Mytilus edulis: one gene and its partner. The protein of the gene in region 2 purifies or fractionates together with the protein of the main gene of each other region. This does not show direct contact. Links are inferred from orthologs where the notes say so. Each region holds a gene or a part of one and is shown on either strand. Other genes may lie near its edges. The genes, in order: superoxide dismutase [Cu-Zn]-like and E3 ubiquitin-protein ligase RNF19A-like.

Evidence for each region.
Region 1: the proteins of E3 ubiquitin-protein ligase RNF19A-like (region 2) and superoxide dismutase [Cu-Zn]-like purify together in Homo sapiens (affinity purification with western blotting, with the first as the bait; 3 studies listed by BioGRID). This does not show direct contact. The link is inferred for Mytilus edulis from reciprocal best matches to the Homo sapiens genes RNF19A and SOD1.

What each region holds. Positions count from the first base shown.
Region 1 is NC_092353.1:20,700,945-20,712,151, forward strand, and holds superoxide dismutase [Cu-Zn]-like, read left to right. Parts: upstream 1-5,298; 5' UTR 5,299-5,397; coding exon 5,398-5,475; intron 5,476-8,124; coding exon 8,125-8,221; intron 8,222-8,340; coding exon 8,341-8,528; intron 8,529-9,468; coding exon 9,469-9,579; 3' UTR 9,580-10,147; downstream 10,148-11,207. UniProt on the Homo sapiens protein: Destroys radicals which are normally produced within the cells and which are toxic to biological systems.
Region 2 is NC_092355.1:45,847,346-45,858,844, forward strand, and holds the start of E3 ubiquitin-protein ligase RNF19A-like, read left to right. Parts: upstream 1-5,937; 5' UTR 5,938-6,083; intron 6,084-11,499. UniProt on the Homo sapiens protein: E3 ubiquitin-protein ligase which accepts ubiquitin from E2 ubiquitin-conjugating enzymes UBE2L3 and UBE2L6 in the form of a thioester and then directly transfers the ubiquitin to targeted substrates, such as SNCAIP or CASR.

The DNA of each region.
Region 1 (11,207 bases), on a different chromosome or scaffold from region 2:
ACATTGGCTAGAGGTAAAGGGGAGGGTTGCAATCTTACAAAACATGTTTAGGTATCCTCGACGCATTTCTGCGCCTGTCCCAAGTCAGGAGCCTCTAGCCTTTGTTAGTCTTGTATGATTTTAATTATATATTTTTGAGTTTAATATGACGTTCAATATCCCATTTTTTTAGGGGCCAGGTGAAGCACGCCTCTGAGTGCGGGATTTTCTCGCTGTGTTGAAGACCCATTGGTGGTCTTCAGCTGTTATCTGCTCTTTGGTCGGTTTGTTGGCTCTTTAACACATTCCCCATTTCCATTCTACATTTTACCAAACAAGTTTTGCCCTATTTGAGATCTCTGATTAGAAAGTTAATTATCTGGTGATCATCATTTTAAAAATTAGCATCATCGTTAATTATGGTCTTAGTGTTAAGGAAAAGCTTCGACAAAGGATCTGTATTTTAATCAGATTAACTATGTAGATAAGATGGGTGTTATTTAATAGATATATTATAAAACATTATTTCCGAATCTTGGAGCCCAAAAAAGGAGCCTTATCACACCTTCTCATTTGAGTAAACATTTTTTACTTTCTTCATTTTGTTTAAGTGATCACACGATCCTATATTATATGTATCTGTTATCTTTTCTGAAAAGCTCAAATGATTAGGGTTGAAGTCATAAAACTTTGCTTAGTGCTCGGAGCACAAAATTCATGCTCGAAACATGAAATCCAGCATTTTGATTGGTTGATTTTGGAGTATGCGAACAAAAAACTGACTCGATCTATCGAATTATCAACAAAAAAAAACAACAATTATATTTGTTAATAGAAATTTTTAAAATGAACTATTCTAGAACATTTGCAAATATGTGTAAAGTAGAAGAAGGAAGACTTTTGTCTCATTTACAAATGTATTTAGTTCTAATATTTGATAATTGATTACCTTTCAGAATAGTGATTCACCAGTCATGGTAAAACCTTGTTGTTTAGCATCTATTAAACCAGTAAAGTCCTCTGTCTGGTTTAATAGCTGCTAAACAACAAGGTTTTACCATTTATGAGTTTGGAGACATCACAAATTGTAAGTATAACAAGAATGTGTCCATAGTACACGGATACCCCACTCGCTCTATCATTTTCCATGTTCAGTGGACTGTGAAATTGGGGTCAAAACTTTAATTTGGCATTTAAATTAGAAAGATCATATCATAGGAAACATGTGTACTAAGTTTCAAGTTGATTGGACTTCAACTTCATCAAAAACTACCTTGACCAAAAACTTTAACCTGAAGCGGGACGAACGGACGAAAATCTGCATCCATTAATAGCAAATCATCGGCCTTTCATCTTTCATATGGATAAGATCTATCGAAAAATACACTTGTTCGTCTGATGAATGGTTCGCTTCCTCTCATATCAGCGCTGCCTCGATTTTTTACGAGCAGTCGTAAGCATATAACAATATTTACAACACATCGTATCGTAAGTTTCTTTCGTGAATACAAATTACAACATACGATATCGTAGACCTTACCTTACGACAGTCGTAACGTTACGAGAGTTTTGTGAATACGGGGCCAGTTTCGTAAGTGGGTGCATTTTAAAAATACATGGTCTTTAAAAGTATATTGAGAATGTAATAAGAATATAGGGGACATTACGATGTGGATACCAAGTAGCCTGTATCCCAGACGCTTTTAAGTCTGGTGCAAAACCAAATGTATTGCTAAACCAAATCATCTTTTTATCTATATACCAAAAAAAATAAAAAAAATGTTTTTTGCAATTATTGTAAATATGTTTAGCTTTTTAATTTGTTTCCCTAGTATGTGCCTTCTTGTAATCTTCAACATATTGAAGTTCAGAAGTATTATGTAGATGTAGATGTAGATGGATATTAAGCAAATAAGGAAGTCTATATAAAAAAAAGTTAGCCGGAAAAATACAGCAAAATCATAATGTTATTTTCTAAATTATTTAATAATTTCGGACGATTTAAAAAAAATGGATAGCCCATGATTCTGCAGATTTTATTAGAATATATGATAAACAGAATAATACATGGCAAAATCCGTATCGCATGCGAAAAAGGAGAAAGCTCGGTAATCATTGCATTTCCCTCTCATTTAAATTAATAATTTTTTAAACAAATAAATGTCACACAATAAACGAATTTCGAATTTGTAATTTACAATGACGACTTTTAGGGGGGATGTTCACATTAGTGATAGACTGTTTGAACGGCAAGAAACGCCAATTATCAAAATATTTGATACCGGCCCGAATTTAAAAAAAAATCATACAGAGGATATATAGATTTTTGTCACACTTAAATTAACACTTTAGCAATGACTACGTGGTCGTTCTTCTAGATTTAAAAACAATCACTTAAGCCTCACCGGTAATTATAAAGTCTATCACATATTTTATAAAACCTAAGCATACTAGCTTTTGCAAAAAGATTATTTATTAACATCCGTGTTGCTTAAAGTTTTAAGCCCTTTAACATTAATTACCCTTTTGATCCATTACACATCAGCGTGATATTTAATTGTACTTTAGCAAATAAACAACCATCGCACTTTAGCGTGATACACCATCGTACTTTAGCGTAGACCATATCGCACTTTAGCGTGACCATCGCACTTTAGAGTAAAAAGTAAAAACACAAAAATACTGAACTCCGAGGAAAATTCAAAAAGGAAAATCAAAAATCAAAAGGCAAAATCAAAAGTCCAAACACATCAAACGAATGGATAACAACTGTCATATTCCTGACTTGGTACAGGCATTTTCTAATGTAGAAAATGGTGGATTGAACCTGGTTTTATAGCTAGCTAAACCTCTCACTTGTATGACAGTCGCATCAAATTCCATTACATTGTCAACGATGCATGAACAAAACAAATATACTCAAAGAGTAAAAATGTCAAAAATAGGGATACAACAGTCAATATTGTGTTATCATCTTAATATCACTACATAAACAACAAATGTAACAAAGTAGCACAAAAAGGCATACATCAAATTTAACATTCTCATTTTGCTTTTCTTATACGGCTGAATTTATCTATGTAAAGTCTACCCATAAATGAAAGAAGGTTTTCATTACTGGTGTAAAATTGCGCGTTTGAAATTCGCACAGGTAGACATAAAAATAATTTTGTCGTATGACGGCATACATAAATGCAGACTCACGTAAAGTAGATATAACAAAAAACAGACTTACAGTAAAAATAATAAATAAAATAATGGCGTGGTTCAAAGTATGACGGGACACATAAGTACAGTTTCACGTCAAATACGGCTGAATTTATCTATAAAATAGTTTAGTCATTCATAGTATGTCAAGATCCTTAAGTAAAAGTAATATCAATAAATGAAATAATTTTGCCGTTCAAAGTATGTGGTTTTACGTAACCACAGAGTCACTTCAAATGAATATCTAAAACAGACATATAAAAGAATACTATAATACGTAATTAAGATGCTAACAAACGTCAGTACGCAAAATCTATACTTCAAGACCATCTTGTATTATTTGTGAAGTTGATACGGAATATTTATCAACAAGTTCTGGGTATCTTCCGATGAACTTTTTAAGAAAAAGGACGAGACGTTCTTTGACATACCCCTGGTTCATCAATTTTCTGCTCAGACACTGGTAACGTTTTACAAAGTCTGAATAGGAGCTGCAAGCTCTTGAATACCTAATAAGTTGGGAAATGTATATTCCATATGCAGGTGAAGTTGGTATATTACTACTAAGGTGGGGGAAATTGATAATTTCAAAATTAAAATCGTCTCGTTTGTCATAGATTCTGGTACTGAGATGACTGTGTATGTCAAATTCGAGGTATAAGTCTAAAAATGAGGCAGAGGAAGCCGTGTCTGTGGTCTCTTTAATTTCTAGTTCTGGTGGGTATATTAATGGAATCCAATCAGAAAAGTTCGGATTGTTAATGGAAAGAACATCATCAATATATCTGAAAGTGAAATTAAATAACCTGGCTTTTTTATCTTCTTGTTTTTGACAAGTGTCTGAAGGAACTCCGATTCATATGAAAATAAGAAGAGGTCGGCAAGGAGAGGCGCACAGTTCGTTCCCATAGGAATGCCGACAATTTGTTGAAAAAGTCTACCTCCAAATTCAACAAATATGTTGTCAATAAGAAACTCCAGCATACTGATCACTTGTTCCTCTGTGTAGTATGTTTTACCCTTTTGTTCCTTATTAACAAAATATGCCTTATGGTATCCCAAAGTGATAAATTTATAGCGTATGCTACCATTTTTATGATGAAAAGCATTGTGAATTATTTCTTTTAGACGGGTTTTCAATTTCACATGGGGAATGGTTGTATACAAGGTTGAAAAATCAAAAGTTTTAATAGAACTAATTTCAGAAAAAGACCGAGATTTAAAATTATCCAGAAGTTCTTTAGAGTTTTTCAGAATCCACATATGGTTAATACCACTACGTGAGTAAACAGTTTCACAGTATATCTGAAGACCCTCTTTAACTGCGGACAGAATTTTAGTCAATCTAATGGACAATTCTTTAGTAGAACAAGCAGATGAGCCGGCAATGTACCGTTGTTTGTACGGAATTTTGTGAAGTTTAGGTATCCAATACAAACAAGGTAAGTCCTCCGATTTGTTGTTCAATGCAATGTTCATAGAAGCCATGAAGGACTTATGATTCGCCAAAATCTCATCCTTGTCAAATGATATGTTTTTGTATGTGGGATTACCTGAGTGTTCATTTATTCCTAATTCTTTTATAAGACACTCGTAGTAATACGATTTACATACAAAGACAATATTATTTGAAGCTTTGTCCGCAGGAACAACAACATACTTATCTTGAAGAGATGATAGACATTTCACAGCCTCTTTGTTACTGAAAATGGACTTACTAGATCGATCATTCACACAGTTTTACCATCGCACTTTAGAGTCCTACATATATAATAGCCAAAATTAATAATGTATTTCGTAAAAATATACTATTTTGTAATACAGGTCATATCCCAATTTTAACAATTTTGTTTTATCTCAAAGTCTGTGATTTCTATTTCGTTTCGTTTCGTTTCGTTTCTTTTCTTTTTGAGTTTTCTTTTTCGCTTCGTTTCTTTTCTTTTTGTTTTTTCGTTTCTTATTATTTTTCGTTTCTCCTTCGCGCTGTTAAATCGGAGCGTGTTTTTTTACCACAGAACCTAAAATACCACTAAACTTTACAAAAAATCAAAAAAATGTTTTCATTTCAGTTACATGTTTTCTTTTTTCCGTTTCGTAATCTGTTTCTGCGTTTTAGCAACACCCGTTGCACACGACACTTGTCCACATTTTCTCGCAGTTTACGGTCACTTACCGGTCACTTGTTCATAAGAAAATCTTATCTCTGTAGGTATGGCAGCTAATATAAAAGCAGTTTGTGTCTTGAAAGGAGATGGTGCTGTTACAGGAACAGTCGCTTTCAGTCAACAGGTAATATTTTTTTTTAAATAATTTTCAAAATTTGTTGCTCATGTTGCTGGTCAACATAATTTCCATGTCATATGACTACAGTTTGACCTTTTGTAATATAGCCCCCTTTACGGCAACCTTTTCTATGAGTTTCGTAAAAAAAACTTTATCCTAGAAAGGAAATTTCAAATGACTATTAAAAGTTACCTCTTTGTCAAAGGTCAAAACATAGAACATGTATGTTGTCAGACTTAGAGCACAGGGCTAGTATCACTATCAGGTTGGGAATGTGTTTTTATCCAGTACCTTGGGAGATACTATTATTAACCGAAAAGGCAACCAGGACCCTCAGTTTTTTCCGCAGGAACCTTGGCCAGTGTAAGCCATCAGTCAAAAACACAGCCTTTGGTGCATTCAGACCATCGATGGAGTAAGCTTGATCAAAGACCTTGAACGGGTACAGTGCAAAAAAGCACGATTGGTATACAACTAGTACACCGACACTTCCTCAGGCTGTGTCACTGGACTGAAAGACCAACGCGAGTGGGATACCCTTCTGCAAAGATAAATGAACCAGTGACTCATCCTTTGCTACAAGATCAAGAACCAACTAGTGGATATACAACCAGCTTTCAACTACACACTGGGGGACAACAGAACAAGGGTAGCCCATAGTCTGGCATAGAATCAACACCAGATAAAGAGCAACAAATATATATTTTTCACCACTTGATTTTAACCATTTTAACCCCACTTAAAAGGATAGTCGTTACATTTAGGGGTTATGCCTCATTTGAGGGGCTGTTGTATCATAGATGTTTTTGGGATGGAGTTACTCCGAGTATAGACCTTGTAGCAGTACTACTGTGTTTTTAGTGGACTTTTGCTTAAAACAGAACAGAATGCGTACCAGTGGACTGGCATATGTTTTCGCCCTCAAGACACCTATTATCATGATTATCATTGTTCTTACAATTCAACTGTCTATACAGTATCACTCTGCTCAGCTCTTCCTAAAGGTCTCACTAATAACACAAAGAATAAAAAAGTCTAAATATTACGAGAGTTCAACAATGATCAAAACTATTGTCTCTATATCTTCGATCACCTTAAAAATTCTATGCCGTATGGTTGAAGAAGAGTGATTAACATTGAATGTAGAATAGTATGTCATGTATGTGGACAAAAGTTATTTGATATTTAGGTCTTTCCACTTTTCGTGGAAAGACCTTTTGTTTTTCTTCTGATTATTTTTGTTTTTCTTTTGCCGTCTGAGATGCTTTTTTGTTTACAACATATCAAACTGATTTTTGGCCAATGATGTTGTACAGTAATTGAGGCTTCAAAACTCACCCTGTGTGACCGAACGCTTATTCTTATAGGAGTTATCTCCCCACGTCCCCTTTTTCTTGTTATCTTTATATCTGGAACCGTTAAAGATTTCAACAAACTGTTTTCACCAAATTGTTTGTCTGCTCTTAAGAACGGTTTGATGAATTTAACTGGAGTGATCGGATGACATCTTATGGGAGTTATCTCTCTTTGAAAATTTAAGATAGGTGATATGTTGGATAAATTCATACATTATAAGTCGTAGAGGCCTAAAGTCTTTTGATATGAAGTCCTTGTTCCGTTTGGAGAAAATTTAGGTCAGGGTCAAAGGTCAAGGTCATGTTCTAAATTAATTTTGCTTGTTTATATCTTTATTCAAAAGAAACTAACAGTTAATGATATGATGTGTTTGCCAAATAAATGTTTACGAAAGGGCACAACTTTAACCTGTTTAAGTCGGAAGTGTTTAGATCAACCCTTATAGGAGTTTTCTCCCCTTATGTATTTGAAATTAGTATTACTTCACAACCATACAAGTGATTTACCTGGGCTCTTTTGATTTGAGATCACTGACCTATGACCTTGAAATTGAGGTCAAATTCAAAGGTCAATTTGACGTTCTAGACTTTGACCTTTGCTGAGAATTCTTACTGGTTCATTATAAAACAATAAAGTCTTCTGCATTTGGTTGCAGACATTTCATCATGTACCATGTCAACGGGAAATGACCGTTTTTTAACCGGAAGTAGCCTATTTCAGACTATTCCTATGAAAAAGTACCTATAATTGTTTTTATTATATCAGTTTGAAGTAACAAATTACATGAACCATGAGTGACATTTTCCAATGTTCACTGTTTTTTAAATTGCATTCTTATTATCGAGGTGGAAAGACCTTCAATTGTTCTCTGAAGAATTGGTTTTTAATATTTTTTTATTTTTGAATTTATAAATTTTGTGTACATTTGTAAACCATGAATTTTCAAGATTGCAGTTTGAATTTTTGATCATATTTTTCTCTTTCAAATTATCTCTGATTTTTTTGACAAATTGTAACCTAGAGGTCACAAAACAAAACAAAAATTCATGTTTAAGTCATAAATTTGTTTGAAAACTTAGATTACATTTATTCAAATCTATTTAAATTATCACATAAATAACAAATATTTCTGAGTTTGATGTCAGATAAAGATTTTATGAAAATGATGTAGGAAATGAGCTTCAACTATTTTAGGAAGTTTGTATACAATTGGAAACATATTGAAGAGAAGACTTTTTGTCTAATTTACATATGTATTTAACTTCTGGTTTTAATATTTGATAATTGATTACCTTTCAGAATGGTGATTCAGCAGTGACAGTGACAGGAGAGTTAACTGGGCTAGCTCCAGGAGAACATGGTTTCCACGTTCACGAGTTTGGAGACAACACAAATGGTAAGACTATAGACACATTAGAACATTTTAAACAATTCCTGAAACTTTGAGATAAATAGAATTGCATTGAACATGAAGTTATACATTTATGAATATACAAACTTTTTTGTTTCTGTTAGGTTGTACTAGTGCAGGATCACATTTCAACCCATTTGGAAAGACCCATGGTGCACCAGGAGATGAAGAAAGACATGTTGGTGATCTGGGAAATGTATTAGCAAATGCAGATGGAAAAGCAGAAATTAAAATAACAGATGCAAAGCTATCCCTGACTGGTCCCCAGTCTATCATAGGAAGAACAGTAGTAGTAAGTAATATCAGAAACCAGACACAGCCTAGGAAAAATATGATAATAAGTCAAAAATGTTTATGGCTATTCCACAATATAACGATACATGTACTAAAAACATGTATTTTTTATCAATATCAATAAGGATGCTTAATTCTACAAACATAACATATACACAACCTAGGTTGCCTTTTCTTATTTTATTTTTAAAGTTGTGTAAAATGTGTATTATCATTTGCTAATGCATGACCTCAATTTTTCATACATGTGGACTATATGGATTGATTGTAAAAAGTCTAGGTCTGTCTGAATATGTTATGTGTAAGGAGATGTGATAGATGTGAAACAACTCTTTAAAAGAGACTAAATGACCCAGAAATTAACAACTTCAGGTCTTCGTACAGTCTTCCACAACGAGCAAAGCACATTTTGCATTATCAGCTCTTAAAGCTCCAGAAATGACAAATGTAAAACAATTCAAACAAGAAAACTAACGGCCTAAATTATGTATAAAATAAAGAAAGAAAAACAAATATGTAACAAAGCAACAAACAACAACCTCTGAATTACAGGTTATTTTGGACAGGCACCTAAATAATGTAGTGGGGTTCTAGACGTTTGAAGGCACCAACCATCCCCTTAGCTGTGACAGTGGTGTAACAGTACATCATAAAATCATGTCAATCTGAATTTTATCACAATACCATAACTTCATTTTTATGCTCTCCAGGTTTAATCAATTCAATAGTAAAATACAAAATAATGTTGAAATTAAAATAGCAATACTCATGATATTATAACATGTTAAATATGCAAAATATTCAGGCAATGAACCATAAGTGAAAGTACAGGAACAAATAAAGTCCATCTTATTGATCCATGCTTTCTTATTTGAAGGTGTCACTTCTGATATATGTAAAACATTAAACACTTACACACATTTTCTATTTCTTTTCAGGTCCATGCTGATATAGATGACTTAGGTAAAGGTGGCCATGAGCTAAGCAAGACAACAGGCAATGCTGGGGGTCGTCTGGCTTGTGGTGTCATTGGAATTTCAAAGGTGTAATGCATTCAAATGAATACTTTATGTAGTAGCAATGCAAAATGATTTTTTTTATTATTATTTAAAATCATGTAACAAAGTGCCCATAAGAACATGAAGCCATTCCTTGTCTCTGTATTACTGTAATAATTTCTATTTAGAATGTTCATGGCCATAGAATATTGAGTGTGGTATGATATATCTTTTAATTTTAAACTTTATGGAAAATATACTTTCTTCAAAATTGAAATCCTTCATACAATATGTCAATTGAATTATAACAATAATATACAGATAGAAGCACTGTAAATATTGATTCTCAATAAAAAAGAAAATGTTTAAAAACAATGAACAAAATTGTGGATGAAAAAGAGTATAAATTCAATGTTGATTGATACTACATGTAGTACCTCACTTTTATCCAGATTATTTACATTTATAGTTTTATTGTGAATAATGTATGTACTCTTGGTGTTTTGAATTTTTGAACAATAATACTGAAATGATAAAGGAAAGATTCCATCTTGTGCTTTATGTTGTATTTCTTGTTTATGTTAAGTTCTTACTAATACATTCTGTAATCAAACTGAAATGACTCATGATTGGCCCAGTAGTTATATTGATTTGCATTCAAATGCCGAGTCCTAAATATAAAATTTGAATGATGTCCAGTTTGTATGAGCCAAGTAAAGCTACTTTTTGACGTTCAGATACAACTTATAATATTTGACCTTCAGATACAAATTGTTTTATGTGAAGTAACAAGGTGTGTGAGGATATGTGGTGTCCAACTGAAACATACAGTATTCAGTAACCACAAATTGAAACTAATTGAAGCTGTTTTTAAGATCAGTGTAAATTATTTAAAACCTACATAGTAACAGAAAATGTTTCTAGTTTCATTTTAAAGGGCATAACCTTTATCTTACAGAATACAACTTGTCAGTATTTAATATTAATATATGATTTCATCCAAGCCATGACGACTTTGTGGTAGATTAGGGTCTAGCTGTTCCTATCCAAGAGTGCACATGATGAAATGCTTCTCCTGCTTTACCTAGGCTATTGAAGACCTGTTGGTGACCTTCTGCTGTTGTTTTTTTATTTGGTTGGGTTGTTGTCTCTTTGACACATTCCCCATTTCCATTCTCAATTCTATCTTGATTACAATTGTGTTTGTTGTAAGTCTGTGATTAGAAAGTTTTACAAGTACCACAAAAACTTATCAAAAATATTTTCAAATAGGTCAAGGTCATTGAAACCCTGCCAAACGTACATAATTCTGTCTTAGAATCTTACAATCATTCAATACATCACATAGAATTAACATTCAGCTTATAAAACTATTAAACCAAGAGTTTCAAATGGTGAAGTTGAAATCATCCCTTCTTAAATTTACAGAAGTTATCACAAGTTGGTCGACCTATATGGAATATCAGTTTCACAGATAACAGATATGTTCCTTATGTGTCGTGTACTGTTATTTGTGTTTGTCCTTTTCGTTTTTAGCCATGGAGTTGTCAGTTAATTTTTAATGAGTTTGAATGTCCCTCTGGTCTTTTATAGTATATGAGAAACTATACTCCTGCTTTACTTGCCTTAATTGAACTGATATATTGAAAAAAACATGCATTTTTAGAAATAGTACACCA
Region 2 (11,499 bases):
CACTTCAATACACTTCAATACACGGGGGTATTATCTGATTGTAACTAAGTTAATCGACCTTTCCTTTCATTGACAATGCAATTTTATTCAACCTTCCACATACTATTATAGATATGGAAAATGTGTGCACCATAGGTTGGAAGCGTTACACATTACTTTACTTGTAACCTGCTTGAATTTTAAAGCACCTGAATGTCAAATTTTATTATATCCTGATGTAAGACCATTTAACGTAAGAAATCAAGTACCCGCTAACCCAGTGGAAGACATATGAGCTTATAACCAATGACTCAGCGCGAGACAAAAATCTGTACCAACTCAAATGATTCCATCGATGACTTAATTTGCAAGATTTCTACACACGAAAAAGCGTAATGCGGGAAATATACTGACAAATATAATCAGTGTGTATTCAAACACTGGGACTCACATTTCGCTATGCAGATAACTCAATGATCATGAATGAAGTTGAAAAATTATACTAAAATGTGTACGTACTGTAAGCCTCCTGGCGGTCTTTCTGTCGATGAAAACAAGAAAACAATTTCCCCATCATTTTTGATGATACTATAATTTCCAGTTCGATGTCGAACAACTGCAGCAATTAAAGCTGAACGACGATCATTTTCGTGCAACGATTGTTTTGACTTCTGTCAAATGGCAGTTCTGATTAATCATTGATTACACACTAGCTACGACGAATTAGACGATGACAATATTAAATTTTACCCTTCCACGTGATTTTGTTTTCATTATTTACAGATTTTACGGACCTCGTTTTCGATTTTCATTATACACACATACGTTTTTTTTTTAACAATAACTTATCTTCTTTCCAGATTTTTGTCTAAAATTGACATTTTCTCTACAATGGTGATTATTGATCATATGATCTGATCTGAGGATCTGATATACAAAAGATAAAGATATCAGAAGCATACATATTTACTGTAGTATAGTTATCGAGTAATTTCACATGCAAATAACACTTAATACATACTTTATTATGTCTATCGCAAAGGATTTTATTCAGATGGGAAAAATAACTGACCCCCCTGTAATTAACAAAAAGAAAAATAATTTGAGTGATTTTTTTTTGGTCATTATCTTTTTTTTTCATGTGCGAGCGAACTTGTTGGCTTCTATATATATACAATATGCTGCACTATCAATGCATATAATGTATAACATTGAATAATGCATGCAGCATCTTATATTAATTGAAAGTGCTTACCATTCTATTCTGAAGGGGGCAATACCTTTTTATGTTAACCACTGTTTTGGCCTTTTTTCAAGGCCGGTGTTGTTTATAACTGTTATCTGAGATAAATTAAAACTGTTACCTGTTTTCAAACCACTTTCTAAACTGTTATCTGCATTTTTGCATTTGTTGTTAACATGTTAACTTCCCCCTATTCTTTCTACTGTAAATGTCTCGGGGGACCACTTCAAACTTATTTTGGTAGGGCATCAAGTACCCCACCCTTTTCATATATTTTGTCTATCAAAAATATATACCTTGTCATATGACTACATGTATAATTAACTCAATTTATATTTCATGAAACTAGAAAAATGCTTTTATTGGCCCTTTTTGACCACTAATTCTAGCATGAATGGGGCATTAACCACCAAACTCAATTCCAGCCTTCCTTATGTGAAATGGAACTTTGTGGTACAATGTAATTGTCCAGAAACTACAGAAATGCTTGTATTTGGCCACTTTTTGGCCCCTAATCCCTAAACTGTTGACACCCTAAATGAATCAAACCCTTCTGCTTGTGGTATTTAACATTGTGGTACAATTTCAGAGCAATTGAAATACTTATACACAAGTAATAAACCTGTTAGCAGAAAAAAAGCTTGTTTTGGGCCCCTAATTTCTAAACGGCTAGGACCAGCATCCCCAAAATCAATCCCAACCTTCCTTTTGTGGTATTGAACCTTCCTATTACATTTCAAAGAGATCTATGTACGTAAACTATAGTTATTGTCCGGAATCCAAATGTGTCTTCGGACGACGACGACGCAGACGACATGATACCATTATACGATCCCAAAAAATTGTTTGCGGACGAAACCAATCCGAAATGTCTACTATGCTCAAAGGATGATGAAACTGTGACCCACTTCGAGTCATATTAAACCTCGTCCAACTCCGAAATGTAAGGAACAAGATACTTGTAGAAACAGTTGTTGTACTAAACAGTCTTGGAATTCAATTTAATAAACTATTGGGCAATAAAAAGTTGCAAATAATTCTGGACATCAAACCGGTAGCAACATCAGGGAAATTCTCTCCAACTAATGTAGCAAAATTAGAACGCCTAACTAAACGCGTATAGCCCGCTGTAGGATAGTTTGCGGATGATAATAATTAGGATAATGACTTTTAACTGAAAAAACTAACCACTTCCATAAAAGAAGAAACAATAGCTTTGTCACAAATCTCGGGAGTTTCTCGCTGCATTGAAGACATATTGGTGACCTTCTGCTGTTGTCTGTTCTATGGTCGGGTTGATATCTCTTTGACACATTCCCCATTTCCAATCTCAATTTGATATACAAAGAAAGAAAGGAATTTTATAGTGACTTCACTATTAATCATCGTATGATAAGCACAGATACAATTTAACTATACAACAAAGATTTTTTAATACAAGTGAGTGTGGTTGGGATTTCCCTCCTGTTAGTGTATATGTTCCGGACCATATAGTATTTGGACCATATAGGTTTTTTTTCAAATATGCATTAGAAACGTTTCAATGATGACTGCAGAACGCTATATTCACAGGACAACTTAAAAAAACTATGGTCCTTGCCCGTGATATACTTGACGCAATAAACGAGGTAAATTACAAGACGCCTTGTCAACCACTGGTCCGGTATACCTAAAGTAACAAAACTTCCTTTAATTCACAATATGTGCATTTGATTTTGACATCTTCTTATTGTACTTACAAATAGTGAGTAAAATTAACTGTGTGAAAATGATTATTTTTTTAAATGTTTATTTAGTTTATCTTTTTTATCCTGAAAATATAATAAAATTACCATTTTCACCTAAGGCGGGCATTAACTACATCAGATATATACTGCACATGCAGTTCAAATCTGTACTTTTACCTTTAGGGGCGTTTCCTGATATGATAAAATTACCATTTTCAGACATGACAACTAGAAGTTTCATACCTTATGAAGAGTTCAAAAGAATTTAAAGTAAACGTGTTTTTTACCCCGCGTATACGTATGGTCGGACTATATGAGTATATACCCATATGGTCATGACCATACGCATATGGTCCAAATACTCATATGGTCCGGAACATATATATATATATATATATAGAGCACTGCAACATAATTGGTGTCCAGGCATTATTGTACATAGAAACTGCAGACAGATCACAAGTTCTACATACTCTCTTATGGGACCGTTCCTCTACAAAAGGGGTTAAAGATACAGAGGTAAGGTAATGTAAGGAAGGTTAATCCTCAGCATTCTAGCGATAAGGAATGTTAACACATGCCATAGGTAAAATCTCTTTGTTTTTTTTTACTATGCTATAATCTGGATAATGCACAGCTAAGGTGTGCATTAACTATATATCAGATATACTGCATATGCAGTTCAAATCTGTATTCTTACCTATAGGGGCGTTTCCTGGATTTTGAAAGGGGTGTTATTCTATAAAATTAAGAAAATATGAACGATTGTAGCGAGACTAAACGCCACTTTTAAATGCAACATTTCGGCTATTTCGTGGCGGCCAGTTTTTGTTGATGTAGGAAGCCGGAGTTCCCAATGAAAACCACCCACCTTTGATAGGAAAACTGAAAATCCTAATCAATTAATATTGGAGTCGAGAACCCCCGCACGGGCAGAGTTCACCCTCAAAACCTCAGTGTTGACTGTCTAGTGATTACAGTAGAAGAACTTCTTAGACTTCTTGGCGAACGAGGCCCATTATGATAAAAGAAAGGTTTCTCCTTCCTTTTTGTTGTTGTTATCTAAACGGGGACATTAAATATTTTATTATATTTTGTGTGCACAATGTAAATCTTAAATCAGTGTTTTAAAGTCAGAACAGATTATAATGACTTTTACTTTTTTGTAGTTTCTCAGCGGCCAAAAAAGAAATCTGATTTGAATAAGTTACGACTTTAGTTGCATATTTATTCGTATAAAGTGACTATTTGGGGATCGACTTTAAATTTGGGTCTTGGGGAGTAAAAGATTGGAAAGAGAAACATTGTTTCTGTTTATTTAACATTCTCAATTTATGTACCAATATCTTCTTCTGTTCCGTCATCTTTCTCTCATTGAGGGAAAGAAAAGCGATTTATCTTTACTCAATAACCCTTTCAGTAATGATTTTTCTTACACCGATTTGAAAGTACACAATATGTCAAAGTCTTAATCCTGCGTCACCAATTAAATAAAAACTTATGAACAAATTTAACAGAAACGATATAAAATATCAACAATTAGATCGCAAATAATGTAACAACTTAGAAAGAAGCCTAAATATAAAAAAAATAGTAATAATTTAAAACCTTTACCAACCTCTTAATTACTACATAAAGGCTCATTTCCCCCTTTAATTACTTTACAAGAAATTGCCTATGAGTTGTGTATTGCCGCGGAATACCGTCAACATATTTAAAACGTTCACGTAAATTGATGTGTTAAAACAGTTTTTGGCCAATCAAATCGGTATATAGGATTTAATCTGCACGGCTCGTGTGACCCTTTAACCCGAACTCCTACGTACGCGGCGTTCCCGGGTTAATTAGGACACGGGGGGGGGGGGGGGGGGGGGGGAGTAACTTCCTATTATTGGGTATACGGGGATGTGCCAAAAATATGGGTCATAATTTTGCGAGATTTTATATAAAAATGACCCTCCTTTTTAATGACATCCTATATTAAAATGCATTTACGTTTGATAACTGTATATTGATTTGGGGTATGATCTCCATAATCATGAATAAACATGCTATTGAGAATCTTACATTAATAATGGTCAATTATTATATTAAATTAAATCAATTCATTTGAAAGTTCACCTTTCAAATAAGTTCCCAAATGAACCCCGGAAATTTGTCTCCTGATTTGATCTTCAATAAACGATGTCAATTCATATATAAAAACTTAAGGGTAGCTGGTATATTTATGAATTATGAGTGATGATGAGTTAGTGCTTATATAAGCATGGGTCATATTTTAAATATTGTATATAAGTATAGGTCATTCTTTCTTAAATATTTATATAACTATAGGTACTGAATTTCAGTGAATGTTATATTAAAATGGGTACTTTTTTTAGGCAAAAATGGCACACCCCTACCAAACACATATCGAAGTTACCCCCCCCCCCCCCCCCCCCGTGAATTAGGATCACCCGAGTCGTGCAGTTTAAATCCAAAATACCGACTTGCTTGTGGTCAACAACTTTAACTTATTTTGTGTTCGGTTATCAGTCAAAAAACAAAAGTCATATGGGTAGAAATGTCTGTTACAACAGGTTGAATACACCGGAATGTCCTTAGGGAGCTACCATTTGATTTTTATGGGGGGGGGGGGGGGGGCTAGCATGAAAATTTTGTCCTGCATTTTTTTTTAGCTGTAATCTCTGTCCTGCATTTTTATTTTTCACTCTGTTCGGTCCTGCCTTTTTTTTTTTAGTTTATTCTGACTTTTTTATACCTAAATTGTCGTCCTGACTTTTTTTTTTTGCAAGTGTCTCATCCTGCCTTTTTTTTTTACTCAAAACTCCTGTCCTGCCTATTTTTTTCAAATTTCATCCTAGCCCCCCATAAAAATCAAATGGTAGCTCCCTTACGGTCATCCGATGTAAAAAAAAATCCAATCTTAGATATAAGGGACGAAACATAGTGGCGAAACCACGATAATAACTATTTGTTTGTTTTTGTTGAGTGAGATCACTTCCGGCGGGAGTTGCCATCTTTCCGTTGACAGTTTCCTGTAAATTTCTTATTAACATTGTTTTCTGATTAAGAAATGGTAAAAATAATCAAAATGTGTAGCAGTTTAAAGTTATAAGATTGTAAGATGTTTTGTGAGTATATTACATTTTACCTTTGGTGGGATGATAATGTTGACGACCTGTTAGTGTTAAAAATAGACTAAAAAATAAATAAATAAATATTTACTCAATAACCCTTTCAGTAATGATTTTTGAAAATCCTCGACTTTCAGTTTTGTTCATATAGTTAATGCCTCTGTATTTAAAGTGCTTAAGGCTGACTGATTTTAATTCATTAATTTTCCGGGACTAATTATTATGAACTGGTCATACATGTATATATATATGTATATATAGTCCAAATAATGATGACGTCTGGCAAGGCTATTTTAATTTTTTTCTGTCTTTCCTACGACGTCATAACGCTGAAGCCATTTTTTACGTCTGGAGTTTGAGAGCAAATTTTGGGGGGAACTTTGAGACATAAAATTTCCCACAAATTATGAATTATCAATGAAACGACACTTCCAGTGAATATAAAATATTAAAACCGGGACATTTTGAAAGACCTGAATTTCCAGTTAATGTAAATCGAACGTTACTGAAATTCGGGTCCATTGAATCTTACCGATATTAATATTTTATTTTCACCGGAAGTGACGTTTCATTGATAATTGTGCTAAATCATTTTGAAACAAAAATGAAAATAAATATTTGCCCGACTCAAATGGAATCGTATCTTTTTTACCATTTCTTCTGGATATTTCTGGAAATATATTACATCAATAAGCACAAAAAAGGTAAGACTTTGTAACTACGTAAAAATTTTAAACCTGCAAGGAAAATTTTATGTCTCAAAATTAGGTCTCAAAGTTCACCCCAAAATTTGCTCTCAAACTCCAGATGTAAAAAATGGCTTCAGCTTTATGACGTCGTAGGAAGGCGTCCCAGAAGAAAATTAAAATAGCCTTGCCAGACGTCATAATTATTTTGACTAATATATATACATTTGATAACATGTTCAACGACATCGTTGTTGGTTTGAATAGTTTTACTCATTGTTGGGGTTTGTGATGAGTCAAGTCTCTGTGTTAAAGACCCTACTGTGACTTATACAATGGCAGTTTGTGTCAAACTGTTTAAGGGTTTGTTTGACCGAAAATGAAATTTGATGTTTTGCCGGTCACACGAATGACTAAATAACACTGTTATTATCGGAAATTCTGAATAACACTTGAAATGACTGAATACCTCTAGAAGTTTTAATATAATTAGCACAAATTGGTGACTTTTAAACATTGATTATTAAATAATATTGTATTATAAGTGTATTTGATAACTTAAAAATGATATATATATAGCAAGCAGGTAAGTTCATAAAGATCGTTTTAAAAATAGTGTCAATAAGTGTGTATATCCAACATGGCCAACTTGTCACTTGGTACAAAATGTATATACATGTATGCATTATCCTAGGTCGCCATGTTCAGCCATGTTGGATGTAAAACACTATATTTATAACGATCTTTATAAACTAACTGCTTTTTAATATATATTAACCCTTGTCGTGCGGGGGCCGTAATATTACGGCCGTACCCAGAATACCGTTATTTTGGCATCAATGGCGCTCCATACATTTAGAGGTCATCGTAATACCATTTATTTCGTAGTGTATGAACGTTTCCTCAATCTGAAACTATTCATGTCATGTTTCTCACTTTAAATATTCATTTTGAGCTCAAATACGAACTTCAAAATTTGATATCGGACAAAATTGGGTTTTTTGGAGGGGTGGGCTTACCTTCAAGGTCTGAATCACGGAGTTCAGAGGATTGAAACCTTGACAAATACCGTTAACCTAAAGGCACATAACGACTGGTCGTGTCTATTATCAAAATACGCCGAGGAAACGACTACTTCCGGTTGCAAGTCCAGTTAAAGTTCAAAATTGGAAAAATTCCGAAATTTGGTGAATTTTGGGGCAAATGACCTTCTTTACACTGATGAACCCAGATCAGTTTCACTCCGACCTAACAACTGTTGTGATAAAAGTGTTCACTGGTGTCCACGCTACATGTAAACTACAGATGGATGCATCTATTAGCATCTCTCGGACTTACAGGTCGAGAAAAAGAACGAAAAAAGGTCAAAATTGACGCTTTTTGTACCTGAGGACCAACTTTGGGGCAAATTCCCCACAAAAAAATTCCGCCTCCTCACCCCGACCACCCCACCCCGTGATCACCTATTTTAGATTTATTGTAATCAGTATGCATCAGCATCAGGGTACAGCTCATTTGCATATCATTTGCATATTTTTGCAAATACTCGAAATTTAGACAATTTCTGAAAACAACTCAGCATGGTAAGGGTTAAGAACCCTGATGTCAGAAACCATTTTTTTCAGTTTTCTGTCCAATTTTGATGTTTTTTCGTCTTATTTGGGGCCTTTAAAGGTTATCAAGGCCTTGGGATACGCTGGTCATCTAAAAATCGCCAAAAAAAAAAATAATGTTGAAACTTACTTAACCCTTGTCGTGCGGGGTCCGTAATATTACGGCCGTACCCAGAATACCAATATTTTGGCATCAATGGCGCTCCATACATTTAGAGGTCATCGTAATACCATTTATTTCGTAGTGTATGAACGTTTCCTCAATCTGAAACTATACATGTCATGTTTCTCACTTTAAATATTCATTTTGAGCTCAAATACGAACTTCAAAATTTGATATCGGACAAAATTGGTTTTTTTGGAGGGGTGGATTTACCTTCAAGGTCTGAATCACGGAGTTCAGAGGATTGAAACCTTGACAAATACCGTTAACCTAAAGGCACATAACGACTGGTCGTGTCTATTATCAAAATACGCCGAGGAAACGACTACTTCCGGTTGCAAGTCCAGTTAAAGTTCAAAATTGGAAAAATTCCGAAATTTGGTGAATTTTGGGGCAAATGACCTTCTTTACACTGATGAACCCAGATCAGTTTCACTCCGACCTAACAACTGTTGTGATAAAAGTGTTCACTGGTGTCCACGCTACATGTAAACTACAGATGGATGCATCTATTAGCATCTCTCGGACTTACAGGTCGAGAAAAAGAACGAAAAAAGGTCAAAATTGACGCTTTTTGTACCTGAGGACCAACTTTGGGGCAAATTCCCCACAAAAAAATTTTTCATTCCATCACAATAGGAAATTCAGAGGAAAGCAAGAAAATTCAACGTCATAATCGGATTTTAACCAATGAAGAACTGAGATCAAACGAACCACACGTAGATTAAATTTTTTTATACAATGGGTGCAGAAAATTTAAAGGGATAAATTGACGAAGATTTAAAGAAAAATCTTTATAATATACTGCTATTTAATAATCAATGTTTAGAAGTCAATAATATATACAGTGTATGAAAATTTTAAGTGTTATTCTGTCTTTCGAGATTCATTGCTACTAAATTTTCAACTAAAAATTTAAAAAACTCTTAAAACTTCTGTCTGACCGAAGGACACTTTGTCTGTCAGAGTTTGGGAAATACTGTAATGCTTTACTTTTTACAAATTGTGACTTGGATGGAGAGTTGTCTCATTGCATTGGCACTCATACCACATCACACATCATCTTATATCCAATTAATGCTAACAAATGTCTATTTAGACCTACAGTGTTTTTCAAACTGCAACAGAGGTTGCCATTTCAATAATGGCATCAATCACCTACAGCCCTACTTGTAAGTTAAGCTTGTTATATATTTTAATAAGAAATTTAAAACGTGGCTTTGTTTCTTTTATCGAAAGAGGGATGTTATATTAGATTTATTTTTATAAACTGAATTATGCCAAAGGAATATTTTTTACTATAATTGATAGATACATGTAAGTCAAAAGAAGCATGCAAATTTCAATCCACCTGTATTTGGCACTATTTGCCAGTATTGACCAATTGGCATGGGGAGTAAATACCAGTGAGTAAAACTTTTGTATTTGAAGCATACATGTTTTCAGCCATTTATATACATGTAGTTTTATTACCAATAGGTATACAGAGTCTTTCATTACATTTTTATACGACCGCAAAATTTGAAAATTTTTTCGATGTATATTGCTATCACGTTGGCGTCGTCGTCGTCGTAGTCGTCGTCCGAATACTTTTAGTTTTCGCACTCTAACTTTAGTAAAAGTGAATGGAAATCTATGAAATTTTAACACAAGGTTTATGACCACAAAAGGAAGGTTGGTATTGATTTTGGGAGTTTTGGTCCCAACATTTTAGGAATTAGGGGCCAAAAAGGGCCCAAATAAGCATTTTCTTGGTTTTCGCACTATAACTTTAGTTTAAGTTAATAGAAATCTATGAAATTTTGACTCAAGGTTTATGACCACAAAAGAACGGTTGGGATTGATTTTGGGAGTTTTGGTTTCAACAGTTTAGGAATTAGGGGCCAAAAAAGGGCCCAAATAAGCATTATTCTTGGTTTTCGCACAATAACTTTAGTTTAAGTAAATAGAAATCAATGAAATTTGAACACAATGTTAATGACTACAAAAGGAAGTTTAGGAATTAGGGGCCAAAAAGGGACCCAAATAAGCATTTTTCTTGGTTTTCGCACCATAACGTTAGTATAAGTAAATAGAAATCTATGAAATTTAAACACAAGGTTTATGACCATAAAAGGAAGGTTGGTATTGATTTTGGGAGTTTTGGTCCCAACAGAATAAGGGGCCCAAAGGGTCCAAAATTAAACTTTGTTTGATTTCATCAAAATTGAATAATTGGGGTCCTTTGATATGCCGAATCTAACTGTGTATGTAGATTCTTAACTTTTGGTCCCGTTTTCAAATTTGTCTACATTAAGGTCCAAAGGGTCCAAAATTAAACTTAGTTTGATTTTGACAAAAAATGAATCAGTTAGGTTCTTTGATATGCTGAATCTAAAAATGTACTTAGATTCTTGATTATTGGCCCAGTTTTCAAGTTGGTCCAAATCGGGGTCCAAAATTAAACTTTGTTTGATTTCATCAAAAATTGAATAAATGGGGTTCTTTGATATACCAAATCTAACTGTGTATGTAGATTCTTCATTTTTGGTTCTGTTTTCAAATTGGTCTACACTAAAGTCTAAAGGGTCCAAAATTAAACTTAGTCTGATTTTAACAAAAATTGAAATCTTGGAGTTCTTTGATATGCTCAGGGGTTAAAAAAAATTGTTTCAGCTAACTAGCCCAGGACTTATTGGCAGCAGGACTTTACTAGCCCTGTTGGAAGAACTGCTAGTCCATCAAAACTGACCTGCTAGCCCTAGTATGCCTTAAAAATCAAGAGTTTGCTGCATAATACAAAGTGGGTGTCATTTGTTTTTAAGGAGACATTATACACTGTATTTGATAAAAAATTTCTATCTGTTATTTATTCTTTTGGTGCTTAACCTAACTTAGTTGTTCCCACATTCAAAGCAGACTTTTTATTGGCGTGCTTGGGGCAACTAACGGCAATATTCACAGAGCATTGT